Linked DNA regions of Tamandua tetradactyla. The protein of the gene in region 1 binds, or shares a complex with, the protein of each later gene. Links are inferred from orthologs where the notes say so. Each region holds a gene or a part of one and is shown on either strand. Other genes may lie near its edges.

Region 1 (7,255 bases):
GAGTGTAGCTGGTGTATCCTGACCAGTAGAAACAGTAGAGCTGTTTCCTCTCTCTCAAGCCACCATTAATGTGGTTTCACAGGCCTGTTACTACTAGCTTATACTGATAACCATAACCCTCAGACCTGACCTGGGGCCAAAGAAATTCTCTCCAATCTTGTGTAATTCTGTATTTCTTCTTGTACTGCTCTAACCTACTATATTCTTTCTGGATATGATTCTACCTTGAGCCCATCAACTGCAAATCCTTGCTGATTTTATGTCAGCAGCAAACGGATAAGCTGATCTGTTGGGTATCTATCCGAGTCATAAAAAGCAAGGGTGCCCAGGACAAAGTCAAGGACAGGAGAACCACCCTGGCTAATGCTGACTCACCAAACCTCAGTGCCAGACCACTGCACTCCCCAATGCTCTACCGCAGGCCTATCTCAATTCCTACCACACTTTCCTGCTGCAGGCTCCCAGCAACCCCCAGGCCACAACTCTCCTACAGGGCTACTTCCTCCTGCCCTTCCACGCAGGCCCAGCCCTTTCACCTCACTCTTTCTCCTCAGGAATAGATTACCCGGCAGAATACTGACATGGGGGAGACCCGGGATCAATTACCGGCCCATGCACCCCCCCCCCAAAAAAAAAGATTACCCAAGTGTGCTCAGGCTAGTTCCAAACATACACAAGACATAAGGTATAAGCTTCTGCCCCCTCACCTCCAAACTCCCAGATACCCTCTTTCCCTTCCAAAAACAAAGGATCAGGATTAAAGGGCTAGAAAGACAAAATGCTTGCCAAACAGTAAACTATCTCTAAGGAAACTGGCTCTATAATGGGACCTAAGTTTGCTTCCTTTATATCTGGCCTTCCCAACAGCCCCACCTCAGATGGCTCCTCCTGCAGGACAGGGCAGTTTCTCCCCTATTCGTTCTCCAAGAGCAAGGTTCTATCTTGAGACCTAGACTTCCAGAAGACACCCATCATATTTGACAAATGTTACCCCACCTCCAAGGGCAAGGACAGCATGGGGGAGGTAAAAGAACACTGTGGTTTGTCTGAGTCAATGTAACCCAGGAGTCAGCGTTTCACTGTCTAACCTAGCACAGACACAGATGTATTCTGCCTATGAATGGCCTAGTGGGTGAGGACAGCTGGAAGAGACAGCTTGGCACATGGCTTGACATCAGAACAGCGGCTGTGTTACTTCTCAGCTTTGTAACCTTGGTTAAATCACTCTGCTTCTCTGAACCTTTTCCTCACCTGTAAATAGAGATAACCCCTACCTATATAACAAATGTATGTTAAGAATCAAATTAGATAAATGTAAAAGCCCTTTGAAAACAAATGTGTTAAACGTTTCTTTTTATTATTATAATAAGAGGGCAGAATGTAAGTGGGAGAGGAACTTATCCAAGAGCTGAAAGAGAGGTGTGGGGACAGAACCCCCACCCCCAAAACAACAAGATAGTAATTATTGCTTTTGCCACATGAGATCTCAAATCATTCAACAGTGATCAAGTGCCTTCTCTGGGAGTTAGAAACAGAAATGACAGCCCATAATAGAGAAGATAGAGATTTAAGATAGCAAGCAAACCCAGATCTCCCATCCAGCTAAGAAGCTGGTATCCTTTCTTTCATAAGGCATTAACTCTTCTTGACTCATTCCCTGCAAAAGTCCATGTTCTGCTTTAAAGAAGGAACAATTTCCCACTAGGACATGACTCTCCCAGTAGGCAGGAATACTGTCTCCTCCTCTGACAATCTGGAGTGAAGTGAGAGATTTTGAGCATGATTCATGTCTAACAATAAGACCTAAGAAACATGGAAATATACTCAAAGGGTGTTTGGTCGATTAATGAGGACTATGTCTCCCACACAAATGACATTTTCCAAGCTTAAGTCCTTAACCCAAGAACTGGTGCAACTGACTTCACAAGTACCACTGACATAATCTATTTCTGGGAATATCTTCCCCACTGCGAGCTACCTGATGAAATCTTTTTATTGTCTGTGTATACAGAATGTACAGAACTATAAAGCCAGGCTTTAAGGTGATCAAAACTGTACAGGTCTCCCCAACTTAGTACTTTTTCCCAGGAGGTCAGATCTACAGCAAATTCTCAGGGGAGGCAACCCCCATCGCAAGAAGAATCCTTAGGCTCCAGGCAGGGACTGCACTGAGGTAGGCCAAAATCAGTATCAAATAAGCTCCCCATCCCACCTCTCTTCCTCCCAATCCAAGCCAAAGCTAAATCCAATTTGCTGCTTTCCAAACAACTTCCCATAAGTCCCGTGGCCCTCACTTGTCTCCACTTCTTAAATACTTCATTGGCTAACTTAAATGCCACCAACTCCCAGAGGACTTCTCTGGCAAGGTCTTCTCCAACCTCAAGGACTGAGAGGATACACAAACTCCTGATTCATCTCGGGATAGGCTAACTTACAGACTCCGCTTACCCACCTCTATAATGGATTCACAACGCCCGCTAAAACAAGCACAGAGAAGGCACGGGAAGCTGAGAACGAAGTGCTTTCCAGGGACCTAAACTGAAGATCCTTTAAGCTGTAAAGAAAGTTTGAAGGTAGGGAGCGAAGGGATACGAGAAGGAAAGGAGGTCGCCTGCACGCCCACAGGCAAGGACTGTGCAGAGACTTGGGACCTTAATACAGGGAAGAGCCCGGCCGGGAAGCCTCTCTGTAATCTGTCCCCTCCTGGCCACCGTACTAGGGAGCCAAGCGGCCCGACTCCCCATTCTCTAGAGGGCTTTTCCCTAGGCCCCACGACCCACGGTCTCAGCCCTCATTCCCGAGCCCTGCCCGCCACGACCGCACCTGATCCGAATCCTCGTTCTCACTGCTGTAGCAGCACCCCATGGTGGGGGTCGAGCCAGGCGCTCAGGCGGCGCGGAGGGACCGCGTCCGTCAGGAGCCTTTCCGGTCACATGACCCTTGGCTACATCCCAGCCGGCAACAACCACCACCACCCGTACCTCCCTCCCCCTTCCCAGAGCCTCTTCGCCTTCGCCGCCCAGCCCTGATTTTAGCCCCGCCCCCATACAGCTCATCATCAACCAATAGGAAGATACGTTCAGCGGAACTAGACGCAAGACACGTGATGAGGAAAGGGCCTGGCAGGGTCACATGATTTTACCTTCTCCCACTATCTAAACTCTGAAAGTCTTTCCACCGTGGTGGAAAAGGTCCTCCTGCTAGTCATCAGGTTATGTGTTCGTGTGCTTCGAGACCGTCATTCTGGGTCAGAAACGAATTCTTATCCCAAATGCTGAAATGATATGCTCTTCTAAGTGCCAGCGAGGGGCAAGTAAAATCACGGCACTACACATCTGGAGCACAAATTCTGGACCCACATCACCAGCGCGCGAGTTAAGGTGGCGCCCAGAGGAGTTCCCAGCCTGGCCCTGAGATTTAAGACCTACTGGAAGAAGGGGCTTTATGCTTTCACCAGCCAAAGCAGGGTGGCAGTTAATCTTGGTGGAGGAGATAGAGGCCTCCTCACTTGTCTTCCTGTCCTCAGGCATTTTACTTCAATCCAGCTTTTTTAAACATAGTTATCTAATGCATGAAGCTGACCATCAGTCTTTTTTTAGAAACTTCTCATGTCTTCCCTTGGGCCCTGAAAACAAGTCTTTCAAGATCTTGCAGAGCCTAAGACCTGCATCCCATTCCAGGCTGGGATTGAGGGGGGTGGGAGGGGAGGAGTACTCACCAGCAATAGGGAAATACTTGCACTTTCCCGACTGATTTCTTGGGCTTTACACATGTAGCTGGTGTACACTGGTACACTGTCTCCCTACCATACTTCTGTCAAGCAAATACAAGCATAATACCCTCTTGATTACTTTCTCTGATCCCATTTTCTTGGCATCTCTAGCTCCCTGTGCATAATCCCTATCCAGTGTTCATTTTTAAGTCAATGTTTATTCATTCACTTGCTAAATCAACAAATACTTTCAGTGTCTAGTATGTGCCAGGGACTGTTCTAACTAGATATACAGCAGTTCACAAAGCAATTCCAAATCCCTGTACTCATGGAGCATCTAATTTAGTGATCACACTGAATCATATTTGTTTCTGGTCAGTCTCTTCTATCAAACTGGGAGTTCCTGGAGGACAAAAACAGAATCTGACTCGTCCCTGTGATCCAAGCACAAGTCACACCTAGAGAAAACTTGAATTTTGAGTGAATGAATAAACTGCAGCCCCTCCATCACCTTGGTTCACATCATCCTTCATGTTCTAAGAATTTGCAGCTACCAGACTCAGTATCTCTTATTAACCCTCAAATTAAGACCCTAGAGTTTTGTAAGTTCTTTGAGGTCTCCTAAAGGGTTGGAGACAGCTCTACTCTGTCTCTAGGTCTAGTAACTCAAATCGCAGGTCTCAGGTGACAGCAGCAGCCTCATCATCAATAATTGAAAACAGTTTCAGCCTCCTGCCTCAGAGTTCTCTCCCACCCCAAGAACTTCCCCTTGTCCTGTGCTCCGGTCTTCCCCAAGAAGAAGCCTCCAACCCAGGTAAGCTGGGACCTTGAGTGTGGGTTTCCAAGCACACCAGCATAAGCTCACCATCACTCACCTATTCACATCCATTCATAACTCTTTCTCTCACTTTTAGTCCCCCTCCACCATCACCATCACCACTAGGGTCCTTACAAAGGTCAGATCTGGTGGAGGGAGATGTTAATGGAGGGCATGGTAGAGGAGCGGGCACCAATCTCCCAAAGAGGGCCCTAAAGATGGGGAGTGAGTAGGGGAGAAGTGTATAGTGTGTGTTTCTGTGTGTAAAGTCACGTGCAGGGAATACTGAGGGAAAGAACAGTGGAACAGAGGAATGCAGGGATGGGAGAAAGAACTGGAGAAGAAATGTAAAATCAAGGATTCCCCCACCTCCGGGGAAGAAAAAACAGAGGGAGAGTCCTGGAATAGGAAAAAAGATATCTTGCCCTATGATATAAGTGTTTTGATTGTCTCTTACTGAGACAAAGAATAATGACAATAAAAGGGATTTCAAAACACAAAGCTGTGTTCTCTTGCCACACAATAATGGGTCAGAAGAGACCAGGTAGCGGGATGCAGGAAGGACACTAGAGAAGAACTGGTAAAAGGAGTCCTGAAGAAGGGGTGACTAAAGGAATGAGGACAAACAGGTGAGGAAAGAAAGGTGAAGATGGGGCTGGGTCAGGACTGGGATGAAGGGGTTTCAAAGCATGGAGTCTTTGAAAATACATGGGCTTGAGATGATACCCACCCAGTTTTCAAATCCCAATTCTACTGTATGATTCTGAACAAAAGACAGCCTTTCTGCTCCTTGGTTTGTAAAACATAAGGGTAATATGTGTTAAGGGCTGCTGCACACATGGCAGGCAAATCATGGGTACGGGTTTTCCTCCCTCCCACCCCAGGACACAGGAGGGAACACCATGTCCCCTGCCATAGCACTGGCCTTCCTGCCACTGGTGGTGACGTTGCTGGTGCGGTACCGGCACTATTTCCGGCTGCTGGTGCGCATGGTCTTGCTGCGGAGCCTCCGAGACTCCCTGTCAGGGTTACGGATCGAGGAGCGGGCCTTCAGCTACGTGCTCACGCATGCCCTGCCTGGGGACCCTGGCCATATCCTCACCACCCTGGACCACTGGAGCAGCCATTGTGAATATCTGAGCCACATGGGGCCTGTAAAAGGTCGGTGTGTTCTAGCTTTCTGCTCCAGGAAGACTTTCCCAAATGATGAAGGTCTAGGATCTGCCTCTGCCTTACCATATGAACTGGATCCCAGCTGGCTGGGCGTGGCAGTGAGACATTCAAGATCTTTCTAGTAGGGGTCCTGAATCCATCTCCCATGTTTTCTGCAACAACCATCTCTTCCTCCAGGGCAGATCCTGACCCGCCTGGTGGAGGAGAAAGCTCCTGCCTGCGTGCTAGAGCTGGGAACCTACTGTGGATACTCTACACTGCTTATTGCCTGCGCTCTGCCACCCGGGGGTCATATTCTCACGGTGGAGCGGGACCCACGTACAGCAGCAGTGGCTGAAAAACTCATCCGCCTGGCTGGCTTTGATGAGCGCACGGTCAGTCCCCCACCTCTCAAAATCTAGTCTCCGCTCTGCCACCCTAGGCCTTGCCCTGATCAGGATTCCCCTGTGGGGGATCCCACCTATGGAGAAGGAAGCAGCTCCACTTAAGGGCTCTAATCCCGGAAGGTTAGTGAGCTCATATCCTTCTGTCTCAAGTCACTTGCACATATTTTCTGCTGAGTGATTGAAAGAGTTAAGACGTTAGTCTCTGAAGTCTGGCATATCTAGGCCCATAATTCTTAGCTCTGCCTCTTGTTAGCTGTGTGACCCCTTCGTGCGCAGAATGGGAATCACAATACTGATCCTAACTTCATAGGCTGTGAGGCCAGAGGAAATATGGAAACACTTGTAGGGACCTAGGCCAGGGCCTGGAGTGAAGTAAGCCAGATCTTGTTGGGGTTTGGGATGGGGAGCAATCCCCCCAATCCTCACCTCCAGCTCCTCCCACCCCCACAGGTGGAGCTCATCGTGGGTAGTTCAGAGGAGGTAATTCCGCACCTACGAGCCCAGCACGGACTGAGCCAGGCAGAGCTGGTGCTCCTGGCACACCGGCCCCGATGTTACCTGGAGGACCTGCAGCTGCTGGAGGCCCATGCCCTACTGCCAGCTGGTGCCACTGTGTTGGCTGACCATGTGCTCTTCCCTGGTGCACCCCGCTTCCTGCAGTACACAAAGAGCTGTGGCCGCTACCGTTGCCGCCTCCACCACACTGGCCTCCCAGATTTTCCTACCATCAAGGATGGCATTGCCCAGCTCACCTATGCTGGACCTGGCTGAGGTCCAGGTCAGAGGTACTTAGTGCTGCCCCACCCACCCACTTACTCATGCAAGGACCTCAGAAAATCCTCTTCCCTGTTTGTGGCTTGACACAGGCTGAGCTCAGGACTAGGGAGGCTCTCTTCCTATCTTTGCCCTCTCCCAGGCTCCATACTGACCTGTGGCACCAAGATCTGTCAGGGTTCTTAGTCCCACTTTTCCCTTCCTTCCAGGGAGAGCCATGGACTGAGAGGCAAGAGGCCTGAGCTCCCAACACAGTCATTCATTGGGTGACTCCAGGGGAGTGGTTGACCCCCATTCCTTGAGTTTTAGTCCTCTCTCCTAACACTATGAGAAAAAGCTGAGAGCGCTCCAGGGGCCTCCCCTGCCCAGCCCATGTAATCCTGGGTAGGATCA
Region 2 (7,958 bases), on another chromosome or scaffold:
TTTATTCTTGGAAAAAACAAAAAAAAAACCTCTCCTCTCCTCCCCCAGTTCAGGAAGGTTTTCCCAGGGGCCCTGCCCCCCCAAATGGTCATCTCTCCTTTGTGACCCCAGCTTCTGTCTGTGGCCATTAGGATGCCGCTACTTGGGTGAGGGGCTCCTCCAGGTATTGCACCAAGGCCTGGGCCTGCAAGGCGGAGAACAGAAATTAGTCCCACACTGGCTTGCTGGTAGAGGGATCCTGAATCCAGGGTCTACCCCCAATGCCATATGCACAGATCACCAGCCTCAGCCCGCTCATAGGAATTAGCCCACACCAGGCATGCACTGGGTGGATGTGAGAAGGGTAAGGTAGTGGGGCTGGGAGTGGCCATGGTGATGGAGCTTGAAGGCTGTGCCCAGGGTTATGGAAGAACGAGGCACATACACACCTTGGCCTTGAGCATCCCGAAGCCCACGGTCTCCTTGGCATACATACACAGCAGAAGGTTGGCCACTCGGGTGATGGCCACACGGCCCTCCTGGTGGGGGAGATGTGATGTTCTGCTTGGCACCCTGGTCCCTCTCCTCCCACAAGGGCTCCTCTTGCCCCAGACAGACTCTATCTTCCCTCCATGCCTAAGGCACAGAAGGTTCAGCTGGTGGGTGGGGGGCGGGGGGGGGGGGGTGCTCTGGCCATGGCCTTGGACATTAGAGTCCAGAGCCCAGCTTCCAATTTCAGCACAGCCACCTCCAAGTTACCCTGGGAAACTCATTTATCTATCAGAAACTCAGTTTCTTTTTCTGTAATTTCTGTCTCATCCTAGCTGGTGTGGGTACCATCACACATGAATGAGTTTTGTATCTGTAACAGCCTGTCCAAATGGATGACATTATTATGGGCTCAACCCAAAGATACTGAGAGGGGCTTGGGAATAGTAACCCAATTTATGTTTATCTTCTTTTTCCATGACAAGGTTTTTCAAACTGAGGTTTGACCTAGGATTAAATTAATTTAGAAAGTAGATCAGCATTTAAAAATAAAAAAGAAGAGAAATGAAGTGCATTGCATGTTTCATGAAACTTTTGTTTTAGTGGATGCATTTCTTATGGCTAGGTTGCAGTCGCGAATATTTGAAAACCTTTGCCCTATAGCACCAGCTTTAGTCTAGGCACAATATAGGAGTCATCTATTGAACTGAAATGGCCTCTTTGGTTGGACAGGGGATGGGGAAGAGGTAGTCAGCCAGCCGAGTCTCCATGGAGAATCTTTTGGGCAATTCAACCTTGGGGTCTATTCAGTTTGGTTCAGCAGACCTTCATTAGGTATCCACTGTGTGCGGGGCACCAGGTGTTACACCCCTGCTTCTCTGACTTCATTTTCTACTACTCTTTCCCATGCTTATGCCACTCCAACCACACTAACCTTGCTGTTCCTTGACCAAGCACCTTTCTGCCTCAGGGCCTTTGCACTTGTTGCTCTCTCTGTCAGAGAAGTTCTTTCCCTCAACAGCCACATGACTCACTCCCCAAATTCCTTCAGATCTTTGCTCAACTGTAAACTTTTTAGTGAGACTCTAACACATGCCCCCTACAATCTCTATCTCTTTTCCCTACTTAATTTTTCTACATAGCATTTCCATGACCAAACTTTTTTTTTTTTTAACCAAGCTTATTATAAAAAATATGTGACTTTAAGCTTCACGAAGACTGGGGTTTTTGTCTATCCTGTTTACTACTTTCCCTTCAGTTTGGAGAAAACTATATTTACATTCAAGTAAATATTTCTTGAATGTACAGACATGAGTGAGACAGTTCCTATTTCCACGCAGTTCACAGTGGAATGTCCATTTCCTTTTTCTGGATTTCATTTCTTTTGTCTGTAAAAGGAGTTGACTAGGTCCTGGAGACCTTGCCAGCTCTAAGGTTTTGAACCTGGGATGACAGCACCTTGTGTTTGTACCTCACTGTATGGTTGATATCCATTCTTTCATTTGAACTTCACTACAATTGTGTGAGACAGGAAAGGTGGGGGGAAGGAGTATTGTTTCCAACTTAGAGAAGTAAGGAAGCTCCCAGAACTTAAGTGACTTGCCCAAGGTCCCACAACTGATAAGTAGCTGGCAGAGACCAGAACCTCAATCAGACCTCGGGTCCAGGGCTCCCTCCTCAACACCACCTGATGCAATGGGTCCTGCTTACTCTAAGTGCTGTCGCACACCAGCTCTTAGTACTCGTCCAGAGCTCCCGTTCCTGCCCCTCTGACTATCCGGGCGGAATCCGGGTCACCCCGTGGGAATCCCCATTGGAGGACAGAAGCTAGGCTCTTCTCTCCATACCATGCAGTCCATGAGAATGAATTTGAGATTGTCTTCGTTAAACGCTTGGTTCCCGTTCCGGTCGTACGCGGCCCAGATATTACTGGCGATGGCCGCGGTGACCCGGGCATCCGTGTCCCCGTAACCCGAGTAGGCCAGCAGCGATCCCTCGTTATTCAGCAGCCTGGCGAGGGGTGGGGAGGGATATCGGTGTGCTTAAGACAGGGAGTAGGACCTCTGGGGTCCCATCACAACCCCACTACCGGCGCTTCTTGGAAGCAAGTGTCCGGGCCGAGGGTGTTCGGGACCGTGCCCCGGACATTCAAGCACGCCCCGCTTCCCTTTCCGAGAGGGGCCCTCCCGGCCGGTTTCCCCAGGCCTCTGCCCCCTCTGCCGCCTCCTCCCTTCCGGGCGGTCCTTCCCCAACCCTCCCTCAGACAGCCGCCCGCCGCCCGACTCGGGCTTCAGCGCGCGCCGCTCGGGTCCTCGGTCCGCACTCACAGGGTGCTCTGGACGCCTCCAGTGTTGGCTTGGCTTAGCACCTGGGTCAGAGCTTTGGGGCGCAGCATGCCTGCGACTCCGAACCCGGAACTTTCGCACACAGATCCGCCGAGGTGCCGCCTGCTGGCCTCCGCCGGCCACTCCCGGTAGTCCAGCCGCCCTGCTCCCGACCGCCCTGGGAGTTGTAGTTTCCCGGCCTATTGCGGGTCTGACTCAATACCCCCGCCGCCGCGGAGGCCTCTGGGAGTTGTAGTTCCTGTGCGGTCGCGGGGCACCCTGGGAACTATAGTTTGCCTTTCCAGTCAGACCACGCGGTTATGGGGGAAAAGAGCGGGAGTAAAAGGACAGAAGTCCTACAAGGAGGTTTAACTCCTTCGGGGAGAAGTCGTCACGTCCGCTTGGCAAACCACGGTTCAATAATTTGAAAAACCTTGTAGTTATGAAGTACACCTTTGGTTACTTTTCAAAGCAATGTCCTGTGTTATACACAATTCTTTTGGATGAGGCGATAGGTACTATTATCTTGAGGAAACCGAGGCTCAGAAAGACAGGAGGAAACCGAGGCCACGCAGATCAAACCCAGGTCTCGGGAACCATATTTAACAGTCCTTTATTAAGGCCCCATCCCTCGGGAGGATGGGGACAGTTGTAGAGATGAGGTCCTAGGTGGACGTCCCGAGGTGGGAAAATTCAGCCTTCACGTCAGGAGGGAGAAGGCCCAGCCTTTGGAGAGAACTGGGCCTCCCGAGAAGGACCAAGTTATCTCACGGAGCAGAGATAAAGCGGCGACACAGAAGGTCCTTTGTCCCGGCGCGGGAGTGACCCGCGGAGGGGGCGGGGGCAGCTTTGGGAAGGACTGGACCTCCCAGCGGCTCCGGGAGGCTGGGGCGGGGCCCCCGCGGCAAGGGGCACGCCCCCCGCCCCCGCCCAGCGCCCCTCCCCCCACCGCCGCCCGGCGAGCCCCAGAGCCGGCTCCCGGGCGCAGGGCTCGGCCCTGGGCGGACCCGGTGCAGTGGCCCCCCCGGGCCGCCCGGGGCGCTGTGGCTGCGGCAGGTCCGGAGCGGGTGGCGAAGCCTTGAGGAGAGGCGGGGAGAGGGGAGTGTTGGAGGCACCCGAGCCGAGCCGGGCGGGCCGGGCTAGCGGGGAGGAGGAGGAGGAGGAGGAGGTGGAGAAGGAGGAGGAGGGGCCCGGACGGGCTGGCGGGCGGCCGGGTGGCGGCGGCGGCGGCATGGCGGAGCCGAGCGGGGTTGAGACGAGGCCCCCCATTCGGGTCACCGTCAAGACCCCGAAGGACAAGGAGGAAATTGTGATCTGCGATCGAGCCTCGGTCAAGGAGGTAGTATGGGTGGCGGGGACCGCGCGCCGTGGAAGGGTCTGCGGAGAGATGGGGGGGGGGGGGCGGTCCTGAGGGACGGTCGGGGAGTCCGGGAAGATCCCGGACAGGAAGGCGAGGGTCCAGCCGGAACCCCGAGGAACGGTGGGGAAGGAGATGCTGGTAGGGAGCGCCCTACGAGGGTAAATCCGGGGAGCATGGCGTGTGCTGGGGGGGACGGGGTTTGCCGTGGGGCCAGGACTGGGGGCGTGGTGGAGGGTGAGGAGGGGGCCCCCTTGCACAGAGAGCACTCTGCACTTGCACAGAGACGGGAGAAGAACCCTGGGTTACTGGTCGGGGTTCGAGGCGCTATGGCAGAGTAGGGAGTCCAGGCAAGGTGCTGAAACAAGAGAACGGACGCAGGAGAGCACCGGGTGCCTACTCTATGCCTCAGAGGAGGCCCACCGTTTTAGGAGAAAACCTGGGGTAGTAGGGGGCGGATTTTCCTCTGCCCAGATTCTTTCAAATTGAAGTGGTTTCCTTTGGTGGTCAGCTCCTCTAGGGTTTGTGCAGTGTGCAGTAGGTGCTCAATAAAAATTTGTTGAATAAGTGAATGAGGGAATATTGCCTCTGTTTCTCACCCCCAGTGGCTGCTCCAAAATTTCACATAGGCGGGGCTTAAGATAGGCCATCTGGTTGGAAGGGAGGGCTTCTGGAAGCTGCCTTTGCTTAGCAAGTGCACTGTTTTTCCTCAGAATGATTGTTATTTTTTGTTGGGAGTGTGCTGATAGTTGGGGAGTCTAACTCTCCCCAAGCTAGCCCTCGGTGCCATCCCTGCCCCCCAACTTTATAAAATGACTCTATTCCAGAATTTAAATTCTTTCCTCTGCGAAGCTGAAATTTAAATCAGTTTTAATTGAGAAGCAGTGTGTCCAGGCCGTTGCAAGCGTGGGCTTGGGTGTCAAGGCCTGAGTCCCATTCTGAGCAGAGTAAATTGCCTAATCTCTCTGATCCTTAATTTTCTCAACTTTCTAGTGGAGATAATATCTCCCAGGATTTAGACTGTTAACTGATGAATATCAAGGGCTATTTGTTGTTGTAGTTCAAAGATGGCTGAAGCAGAAGCTGGGAATAAAGAAAGATAGAAAGTTGGAGTCTGAGAAGAGAAGGCTGAAGGGAGACGGGGCCTGGGTCTAAAACTGTTGAAGGAGTTGGGATGGAGAGGGCTGCCCATTTAGCACCCTCATAGGGGGTTGGGTGAAGGGATTGAAGGTAGGATGTCAGAGCAAGGGCTTTTGGGGTGGAAGACCTTGGAATATAGCTGAGAGAGGAGCCTCTCACTGGTCCATCTTGGTTAAGAAAGGAGCTGCTTATTGCAACTGGAGGGGTGGAGAAGAGACTGCAGAAAGAAATTCCCGTGACTAGAGTGGGAGCAAGGGTATGCCAGAGGCTCTTGGAGAGGGGCAGGGTCCCTGGTGGGTCTGGGCTGGCAGCCTCCTCAGTGACCTCTGCCTCTTGGTCACAGTTCAAAGAGGAAATCTCTCGGAGATTTAAGGCCCAGCAGGACCAGCTCGTCCTGATCTTTGCCGGAAAGATCCTCAAGGATGGGGACACACTGAACCAGCATGGAATCAAGGATGGACTCACTGTGCACCTGGTCATCAAGACTCCTCAGAAGTAAGTTCAGAAGATGAGCAGGCCCAGCCTCTGACTAGGCCCTCCTTTCCCTTCCCCGTCTAACATTTTCTCACCCATGGCTCAGCTGGACCTGGACGGCCTGTGTCAAGGATGTCCTGCCTGGCAGCACTATGATATCACCTCTAGGAGAAGGGAAATTGACTTACTCCTCCCACAATGCCCTGAAGACAGATAAGACTAGCTCCTTCCTCCCTCTCCCTGGTTTACTGACCACCCCTTCCCCTGCTGCTGCCTCAGGGGCCCTCAGCAGGTAGCTTGAATCAGAGCAGTGGCTTCTCTGTGTGCCCACTCCACCCACCTAAGAGTCTCCTTTCTCTGTCCCCAGGGCTCAAGATCCGGCTGCTACGACTGCTTCTTCCCCCTCCACTCCAGACCCTGCCTCTGCACCTTCCACGACACCTGCTTCGCCCGCCACCCCTGCCCAGCCCTCTACCTCTGGCAGCACCACTTCAGATACTGGCAGTGGAAGCCGAAGGAGCAGTGGGGGCGGTCCCTCCCCAGGGGCTGGGGAGGGACCCCCCAGTGCTCCCGCCTCCATACTCTGTAAGCCCCTAGAAAGGAGAACACAGTCCTACTTGGTCTGGGGAGTGAGGGAAAGCCAAGAGCAGGCAGAAGGATGGTCCCTGCTCTGGTCTGGTGGTCTGGTGAGGGCGGGGGGCTTCTGGACATAGGGTTCCAGACCCTGGTATTCAGCCAAGACCAGTGTGCGAGGGCTTCCTGAAGGAGGGGAACATGGCTGAGTGTTAGCAGTAAGGGGAGAAATGGGGCTGGGGATGTGGAAAACCCAGGTCAGGATTTTGGAAGACCCCGTGAGTTTGGGAAAGTGGTGGACCTGGCTGGGGTTAGCTAGAGAATATTTATTTGTTCATTCAACAAGCCGCCAGTGGTTGCCCACGGTGAGCTAGGTACTGTGCTCAGCTCGGGGTAATCTAAGCTTCTACCATCAAAGAGGTCTTGGCTAGTAAACTGACATCTTGCCAGCCGTGGATCACGGCTGGGACTATGGGAGTAAGTGGAAAAGGGAGATATGAGAGGCAGAGACAGATGGGGCCCATTCTGGAGACCAGGTTAGGGAAGGGCTATCGTGGCAGATGGTGACCCTGCCCCCTCCCCACAGCTGGTTTTGGGGGCATCCTGGGGCTGGGCAGCCTGGGCCTAGGCTCTGCCAACTTCATGGAGCTGCAGCAACAGATGCAGAGACAGCTGATGTCCAATCCTGAGATGCTGTCGCAGATCATGGAGAACCCTTTGGTCCAGGACATGATGTCTAACCCTGACCTGATGCGTCACATGATCATGGCCAACCCTCAGATGCAACAGCTGATGGAGCGGAACCCCGAGATTAGCCACATGCTCAACAACCCTGAGCTCATGAGGCAGGTGGGTATGGGAGAAGGTTGGGTTGAAGGGGGATACCTAGAGCCCAGGCATTCCCTACCTAGCCTATTCCTGCCTTGTCCTACACTGCCTGATTGACTGATTCATTCATTCATTAATTCGGCAGCCATATTTTAAACCCTGGTGTACAGTGATGAAAATACACAGGCCTAGCTTTGCAGAAGTTCCTGGTCTCAAAGGGAAGTGGGATAGGTAAACAGGTATTTCAGTGTGGTTGGTGTTACCCATAGGTACAGTTCAGGATCCCCTCAGAGCACAGAGAAGGGCTCCTCACCCTATCCTGGAGCTCAGAGGAGACCTCCTAGAGGAAGTATCATCTGAGCTAAGACCCAAAGGAAGAGGAAGAATCAGTCAGGGGAAGAAAAGGAATAATATTCAGGGCTGAGGGACAGCAAGTGCAAAGGTCTGAAAGTAAAAGAGAGTAGGATGTTTGGGAATCATCATGGCCCTGTGGAGAAGAGAGACCTGGAGGAGGAGGTTTTAGGAACTTCATCTACTGGCCTACTCAGGCCGACAGGGGATAAGGAGAGAGTTTTCCCAGTGAAGCTGTGGGCACCAGTGTTGACCTCACTAGAAGATAAGTGACTTTTTTTTTTCTGTGTGCTGTATGGTGGGGGTCACATTTCATTCTTTTTCCGTTTGAGTATCCCGTTATTGCAGCACCATTTTGTTGAATTTTTGTTTGTTTAGTTGTTTTTTCTTTGTTTTGCTTGTTTGTTGTTTTTTGGGAAGTGCATGGATCGGGAATTGAACCC
Region 3 (7,681 bases), on another chromosome or scaffold:
CCACCACCAGGTAAATGCTTCAAATGTGGCTTTGACAGACACTGGTCCCGCCAGTGCCCCAATCCTCGACCACCCAAGGGACCATGCCCTCTCTGCGGGAAAAAGGGACATTGGAAAAGTGACTGCCTCTTGGCACCCAGCTGTGAAGGGGCTGTCCTTCCAAACCCTGACCCACCGCTGGCAGTCCTGGGCCTGGCCACCGACGACTGACAACACCCAGACTCAGTGACTCCGATCACCCTCGCTGAGCCCAGGGTAACAATCAAGGTAGTGGGTAAGTCCACCTCCTTTTTAGTGGACACGGGGAATACCTTTTCTGCCCTCCCCTCCTACTCAGGTCAATTCCTTCCTTCCCAGGTCACGGTTATGGGCATAGACAGCTGTCCTTCGCACCCCTTAACTACTGGACCACTTACATGTTTAATAGAAGGGTACCCCATTACACACTTTTCTTGGTGATGCCTTCTTGCGCCAGCCCACTAATGGGGCAGGATCTTCTCACCAAGTTAGGGGCCTCACTTCACTGGATACAAAAACCCCAAACAAATTTACCATTACCCTTATGTGTGCTGTTCTAGTTTGCTAGCTGCTGGAATGCAATATACCAGAAACAGAATGGCTTTTACCAAGGGGAATTTAATGAGTTGCTAGTTTACAGTTCTAAGGCTGAGTAAATGTCCCAATTAAAACAAGTCTATAAAAATGTCCAATCAAAGACATCCAGGGAAAGATACCTTGGTTCAAGAAGGCCGATGAAGTTCAGGGTTTCTCTTTTAAGTGAGAAGGCACATGGCGAACACAGTCAGGGCTTCTCTCTTGGCTGGAGAGGCACATGGCGAGTACGGCGTCATCTGCTAGCTTTCTCTCCTGGCTTCCGGTTTCATGAAGCTCCCCGGGAGGTATTTTCCTTCTTCATCTCCAAAGGTTGCTGGCTTGTGGACTCTCGGCATCTCATGGCTACATCATTCTGCTCTCTCTAAATCTCTCATTCTCCAAAATATTTGCTCTTTTATAGGACTCCAATAAACCAATCAAGACCCACTCAAATGGGTGGAGACATGTCATCGCCTAATCTAATTTAACAACCACTCTTGACTAAATCACATCATCGGGGAGATGATCTCATTATAGTTTCAAACATACAGTATTAAATAGGAATCATCTACCTTTATGAAATGGGATTTATATTAAAACATGGCTTTTCTTAGGGAGCATACTTCCTTTCAAACCAGCACATGTGGCCTCCACCTCCACTCAGGGTTCCACCCCTCCCGCTCTTCCCCTACCACCTCACCTAGTAAACCCGGAAGTATGGAATACCTCAACTCCCCTGATAGCTTCCCATCATAAACCAGTTCTTATCTGACTAAAAGATCCATCCTCATTCCCATCTAGGCCACAATTTCCTATCTCCATAACCCATCAGAAAGGACTCCAACCCATCATTAACCGGCTCAAGGGAAAGGGACTCCTCATACCCACTAACTCGTCTTATAACACCCCCATCTTGCCTGTCAAGAAACCTGATGGTTCTTAACATCTAGTACAAGACCTCTGACTAACTAATGAGGCTGTCATCCCCATCCACCCAGTAGTTCCCAATTCATATACTCTTCTCTCACACATACCTCCTCATACTACTCGTTATTCTGTCCTGGACCTTAAAGATGCCTTCTTCTCAATCCCTCTAGACCCTGCCTGTTACAATTTATTTGCCTTTACCTGGCAAGACCCAGACTCTTCAGCGGCCCAACAACTTACATGGACGGTATTACCTCAGGGGTTTCACAATAGCCCCCATATCTTTAGCCAAGCTCTAGCCAGGGACCTAATAGAGTGCAATCAAACTCCCAGTTTCGTTCTCCAATATGTAGATGACCTATTAATTTGCAGCCCTTCTGAAAAAAACTTCCACAAAGCCTACAGCCACCCTGTTAAATTTTTTAGCTGACAAAGGATATCGAGTCTCCCCTGCCAAAGCTCAACTTTCCTCCTCCACTGTTACCTATCTGGGGCTCCGCCTCACTCCTACATCCCGACATCTAACAGTAGACAGCCAGCAAGCCCTTTGAGAACTCCAAAACCTCCAGAAAACATTGAACAAATTTTATCCTTCCTAGGTTTTGTGGGGTTCTTCTGACATCGGGTCCCCAGCTTTTCCCTCCTAGTGAAGCCTCTTTATAAGGCAGCCAAGGTGGCGCCCATGGGAACCCTAGATGACCCCTCTACTGTAGCCAAAACTTTCTCCATTCTCCATGATGCCTTACTTCAATCACCTCCACTTGCTCTTCCAAATCCTAACAAACCCTTCTTCCTTTTCACTGATGGAAAGCAAGGAATAGCGGTGGGAGTCTTAACCCAACCTCTGGGACCAACTTATAATCCAGTAGCCTATCTCTCTAAACAGATGGACCCCACTGCCTGTGGATGGCTTCCCTGTCTCCGAGCACTGGCTGCAGCTACTACCCTAATGCGTGAAGCTCTTAAACTTAGTCTGGGTAGGCCTCTCCAAGTCCTGTCGCCCCACCATCCACAAGACCTGTTATCCCATAAGTCTCTCTCTCTCTCTCTGCTCATTCCTTCCCGTCTCCAGGAATTTCATTTGTTCTTCCTAAAAAACTCAGATGTCACACTCTCTGCCTCACCAGCCTGTCTTACGTGGCTCCAAATCCTCCAACAAACCTTAAATTTCCTCAACCAAACACAAATACTCCCTAAAGTAACCCACTGTTACCTCTGTGCATCATTAAATAAGCCACTATTAGCAGCTGCCCCTATAAATCTAATCCAAATACATAATCATAACCCTGATTCCTGCCATACCACTCTAAAGAACACCCCCCGATGGGAACCAGAGCCTGAAAACCTTCCCTACCCCCTTAAAACCTGCTTCCTCACACACACACAACTGTAAATCAGACAAAACTTCATAATAAATGCCAAACTAACGTCACTATCCACAACACCACCCATCCGCCAAAGGACAATATTTCTGGTGTAATGGAACCCTTACCAAGTGCCTTAACTCCACTGCCCCGGGACCATGCTTCCTGGTAACTACTGTTCCTCAATTAACTCTCTATAGGGAGTCCGAACAAACTTGGTTACTGCCCTCTCCTCACTCCAAAAGGGCTGTCTTTCTTCCCATCCTGGTAGGCATCAGCCTAACTGCCTCAGTCGCAGCCTCAGCTGCAGTGGGAGGGGCACTGGGACATGGTTTTTTTTTTTTTTTTTATTAATTATTTAGATTAAACCAAGGTAACTTAACAGAACACTTTGAGACATGGTATTTCAACCTCTCAAAACTCTGAGACTCAACTACAGGTAGCCCTGGAATCAACATCAGAATCCCTTTCCTCTCTACAACGTCAACTTACCTCACTAGCCCAGGTAACTCTTCAAAATTGACCGACCTTAGACCTGCTAACCATCGAAAAAGGAGGAACGTGTGTATTCCTTCAAGAAGAATGCTGCTATTACGTCAACGAGTCAGGTCTGGTGGAACAAAATACTCACACCTTAAACAAACTAAAAGAGGATCTCTACCACAGAAAACAAGGAACCAGCTCTGCCTTAGACTGGTTTTCTTCCCCCCTGGTGACATGACTCCTCCCGCTAGTAGGACCAGTTATCCTAATCTGTCTCTTTTTTCTCCTAGCTCCCTGTCTCCTCAACCTCCTTCAGGGACGCATGAAGGAACTGTCCCAGCTAGCAGTCAACCAAATGCTCCTGCATCATTGCCACCGCCTACCCTCCTCACCTGATTCCTATAGCTAACCTACTCCCTCTCCTGACCATGACAACCCCAGCCCATCACCCCACGTCGCCCCAGCACAGCAGAAAGTAGCCAGAAGAACCTCAACGCCCTATTATCACAAAAAGGCTGGAATGTTAGGTTGGGGGAACCGTGAAGGGCACTGCAACTGGAGCTGCAGAGGCTGTGTCGCCCCTCCCAACATGGCTTCTGGAGCCACCCCTTCTGGACACCTGACTTCCGGAGAACCGCCCCTTCCGACGTCACCTGACCCGCTTGCATAAAAACTGCCCACGCCATCACCCATTTCAGACTCACCTTCCTCCATCTTGGATTCCGTGAGCTCTTCCCGGGAGCACAGAAATAAACCTGCCCACTTTAAATTTCCCGGTCTACCTTCCCTCTTCCTCAGCCTTTCGCCTCCTAAACCTTTCATTTTTAAATAGCCTTACCCAGTCTTCTTTAACAGTTAAGATTCATATGCCACTTTCTTCCCCAAAACTTTCCTGCACTCTCCTACCCCATGGAAGTACCCATGTCTTTGTCTCTGACACTTTACCAATTCAGTACCCAGCTGGGGGGTTTAACATGATGCCACCTCGCGCCTTAGTCCTTTGTGTGTATGTGTTTCTCCCTAAAAGCCTGTGGGCCCGTCATAGCGGTTCTGCGTCTCTTCTCCACATCTTTGATTAAAATCCAAAGGTTAAAAATCACTGAGACAAAGTGAAAGACCAGAAACCAAAGACAAAGAGGCCTGGCTGTCGACCCTCTCCGGGGTGGGAAATAACTCGCAATGCCGGCCTCCGCAGGGGAGCCCGGAGTGGGTGGAGCACTAAGGCTATCCAGGAGCGGCATGGCGTCTCCTGGTTACAAACGCGGAAGCTGCACCGCGATCTATTTTGATCCTTCAGAGCTGCCATCCAGTCTGCGTACCACTCATGCCACGTGACGGAGGAGCCCCTACGATCTGTGGCCGAGAAGTACGTGGTGCGCTGAGTGATCGCGGGCGGCCAGCGGAATGGAGGAGACTTTGGAGCAGCACTTGGAGGACACGTGAGTAGTGCAGACCTCTTCGGCTTGTGCTGAGGTCGCGGCGTTGAGGCTGAAGCGGAACAAAGGGCATGTGCTGCGAGTGCTACCCTGGCGTCTGGGAACACGGAACAACCTCCAAGGCGCGGATGTGACTGTGAGGCTTGCTCTGGGGCCGCAGGGCGGGGCCGTGACCCGGAATTAAAATCTCTCCGGGTTGCTTTGCACACTCCCTCCCGGAGCGAGTCTCCGGGATTCAAATCTGAGGCATACTACTCTGGTGTCGTTATTTCGGGCGTTTTAGGGAATGGGTTATGTTTTAGAAAGGATGTACCACGTGTGCAAAGTGGAACCCTGCATTGTAAACATAAGCAGACACACGTATCTCCTTCCATACGAACCAGCTACTTGGTGCTTAGGGGGATGATGGGTCATCCCTTATTTTTTTTAATGAATGATATTTTTGTAAGATCCGGATTGGGAAAGTTTAAGAAGGCATACAGGGAAATATACCTCACTCCCACCACTGTACTCCAGCCTCTCAATTCCCTTCCGGGAAACTCCTGTTACTTAGACTGTTCCAAAAATTGCTGTACTTGAGTTAGTATATTAAAGCTCGCATTGAGCAAAGGGAACCCTGGATATTACAATGTTTGTGACCCTCCAAAGGTAAATTATACCTGACAATCTTTTTGTTTTTGTTAGTGAGAATTAATTTAAGTTAATTGGTTTTATTTTTTCTAGAGGCGGGGAGGGATGATAATGAAAAAGGCGTTGAGAAACACTGATTTAAAGCACTTAACAACAGTGCCTGGCATGTATAAAGCCTTAATGTGTTATGGTAATTTAAGCCCATGTTCTCTCTTCATCCCGCCTCTATTTCTGGAACTAGAATGAAGAATCCATCAATTGTTGGCGTCCTGTGTACAGATTCACAAGGACTTAATCTGGGCTGTAAGTATCTTACACCAAACTTTTGGTGTGTTACAAGTATCTGATATTGACCTGGAGTCAAGTGTATTAATGCTATTCTCTAGCTTTTATTTCTTGCTGTCCTGCCACTTTGAATTGGTATTTAAGAAAGTAGGACCATTCCCTGCAGTTCTAGAATTAAAGCATTTGGCTCTACTAAAATAGTATTTGAATCATTTTAAATTGCATTTAGAAGGGACTTCAGGTAATGACAGTATTAACCCTTTATTGGATGTATGCCATATGCTGGAATTGTACTAGCCTTTATCTGCATTTTTTCTAGTTTTCACAGTAATCTTGGATGGTGCTATTTTTTTAGTCTAACATACACGTAACAATAAGTGAGTAAACAGTAAAATGTATTCTCTTTTAAATGTACAGCAGATTCAGAGCCAGAAACATCTGGGTTCAACCTCATGCTCTTCCATTTGCTAATAGTGTAAACTTAGACCACTTCTGGGCCTCAGTTTCCTTACTGAGTTGTTTAATAATTATACTAATAATAGAATTACATTTATTGAGCTCTTGGGCTATGTACCAGGCAGCATTGTAAGTGTTTTAGATATCATTCATTTAGTCTTCATAAAACCCTATGAGGAAGATAGCCGCTTTCCCAGTTTCCTTGAGGCAAAAAAGTCAGGTAACTTGCCCAAATTCACATAGCTAGCAAGTGGTTGAGTTAGGACTTGAATCTTTCTCCAAAACCTCTTAATTACAACACTATAAAATTATATCATATGTGTAAAACACTCAGCACAGAACCTAGACATAGTAATAAAGAGTCACAATTACAGATGAGGAAATAAATCCAGAAAGATAAATAACCAAAGCATTCAGTTAATGTCAGAACTAGGAAGTCCAGGACTCTTTACTTCTAACAAGAATTTTTTAAACTAAATTTCTTGCTGGAAGGATAACTGAAATGGGTAATATTTGTAATAGTTGTGTTCCTCACAGATTAGTCAGTTGGAAGAGAAAAGGCAGATTTTTCTAAAATGCTTGCCAGGCTCACTAATGGAAAGGCTGAAATTCAAGTATGGAAATTTAAAACTAAGTCAGTTTCTTCAAGAAAGCTTTAAGGCCTTAAAGGCTACACTGTGGCCAGTTAAAAGTAAAATCAGCAATAGTTAATCCATAAAAATGGTGCCATAGTTGCAAGACTGTTACCCAACTTAGGTGCAAGCACAATTTAGGCATATGTTACCTCAATGAAAACATAAAGTAAACTTAGTAATTACTTTATTTTCTTGGGACCCTAAATTATTTACCTACAGGCTAAAACAAACATTAATAAAGAGGCAGTTCTTTTGACATTTGAAAACAGCTAGCTTATTCTTGCCAAATTGATTGTTCACTGATTGTATTCACAGGTGCTGTCAAGATGGTCTTATGATTGAACTCCCAAGTTCAATTATATATCCTTTGAGGTTGAGCTCAGTGAAAAGAAATCAGATTTCCCAGGAGAAATTAATTAGTTTCACAAGTCTCTTGTCCTTACTGACTTCTTGTCAATCTCACCTCTGAATTTTTTTGTTTTCAGTAAGGTCCTAAAAAATGAATTTCTTTTAGATTGATTTGAATTATAGCTTTATATCGTTGGAAGGTGTTTCAAGATGGCAACGAAAATGACTTTGAAAACTGAGTGTTGTCCTCACATTGTTGATTTAAGAACTGTTGTCTTTCTCATCTAGTAGTTATAACCAGTTGATTATCAGGGCAAAAGCATTTCACGTCAGTACCTAACATAGGAGACAGTTAACTGAATCTTGTGTTTGTGAATAATTCAATGATAGCTCCTACTATAACTCCTTACTCATTTTTGGACAGTCAGGTGACATGATATCATCTCTGTCTTCTAGGCCGTGGGACTTTGTCAGATGAGCATGCTGGGGTGATATCAGTTCTAGCCCAGCAAGCAGCTAAGCT

Evidence for each region.
Region 2: LAMTOR1 (region 1) and LAMTOR2 share a complex: the UniProt entries of both Homo sapiens proteins name them as parts of the ragulator complex. The link is inferred for Tamandua tetradactyla from reciprocal best matches to the Homo sapiens genes LAMTOR1 and LAMTOR2.
Region 3: LAMTOR1 (region 1) and LAMTOR5 share a complex: the UniProt entries of both Homo sapiens proteins name them as parts of the ragulator complex. The link is inferred for Tamandua tetradactyla from reciprocal best matches to the Homo sapiens genes LAMTOR1 and LAMTOR5.

What each region holds. Positions count from the first base shown.
Region 1 is NC_135334.1:74,148,790-74,156,044, reverse strand, and holds the start of LAMTOR1 (ragulator complex protein LAMTOR1), read right to left. Parts: upstream 3,013-7,255; 5' UTR 2,866-3,012; coding exon 2,824-2,865; intron 1-2,823. Other genes in the region: TOMT (transmembrane O-methyltransferase), read left to right, coding at 5,432-5,690, 5,880-6,076, 6,539-6,859. UniProt on the Homo sapiens protein: Key component of the Ragulator complex, a multiprotein complex involved in amino acid sensing and activation of mTORC1, a signaling complex promoting cell growth in response to growth factors, energy levels, and amino acids.
Region 2 is NC_135330.1:9,088,718-9,096,675, reverse strand, and holds the start of LAMTOR2 (ragulator complex protein LAMTOR2), read right to left. Parts: upstream 3,014-7,958; 5' UTR 2,864-3,013; coding exon 2,796-2,863; intron 2,479-2,795; coding exon 2,316-2,478; intron 519-2,315; coding exon 429-518; intron 185-428; coding exon 128-184; 3' UTR 1-127. Other genes in the region: UBQLN4 (ubiquilin-4), read left to right, coding at 4,024-4,131, 5,633-5,784, 6,131-6,348, 6,923-7,185. UniProt on the Homo sapiens protein: As part of the Ragulator complex it is involved in amino acid sensing and activation of mTORC1, a signaling complex promoting cell growth in response to growth factors, energy levels, and amino acids.
Region 3 is NC_135337.1:12,520,981-12,528,661, forward strand, and holds the start of LAMTOR5 (ragulator complex protein LAMTOR5), read left to right. Parts: upstream 1-4,668; 5' UTR 4,669-4,772; coding exon 4,773-4,807; intron 4,808-5,675; coding exon 5,676-5,737; intron 5,738-7,614; coding exon 7,615-7,681. UniProt on the Homo sapiens protein: As part of the Ragulator complex it is involved in amino acid sensing and activation of mTORC1, a signaling complex promoting cell growth in response to growth factors, energy levels, and amino acids.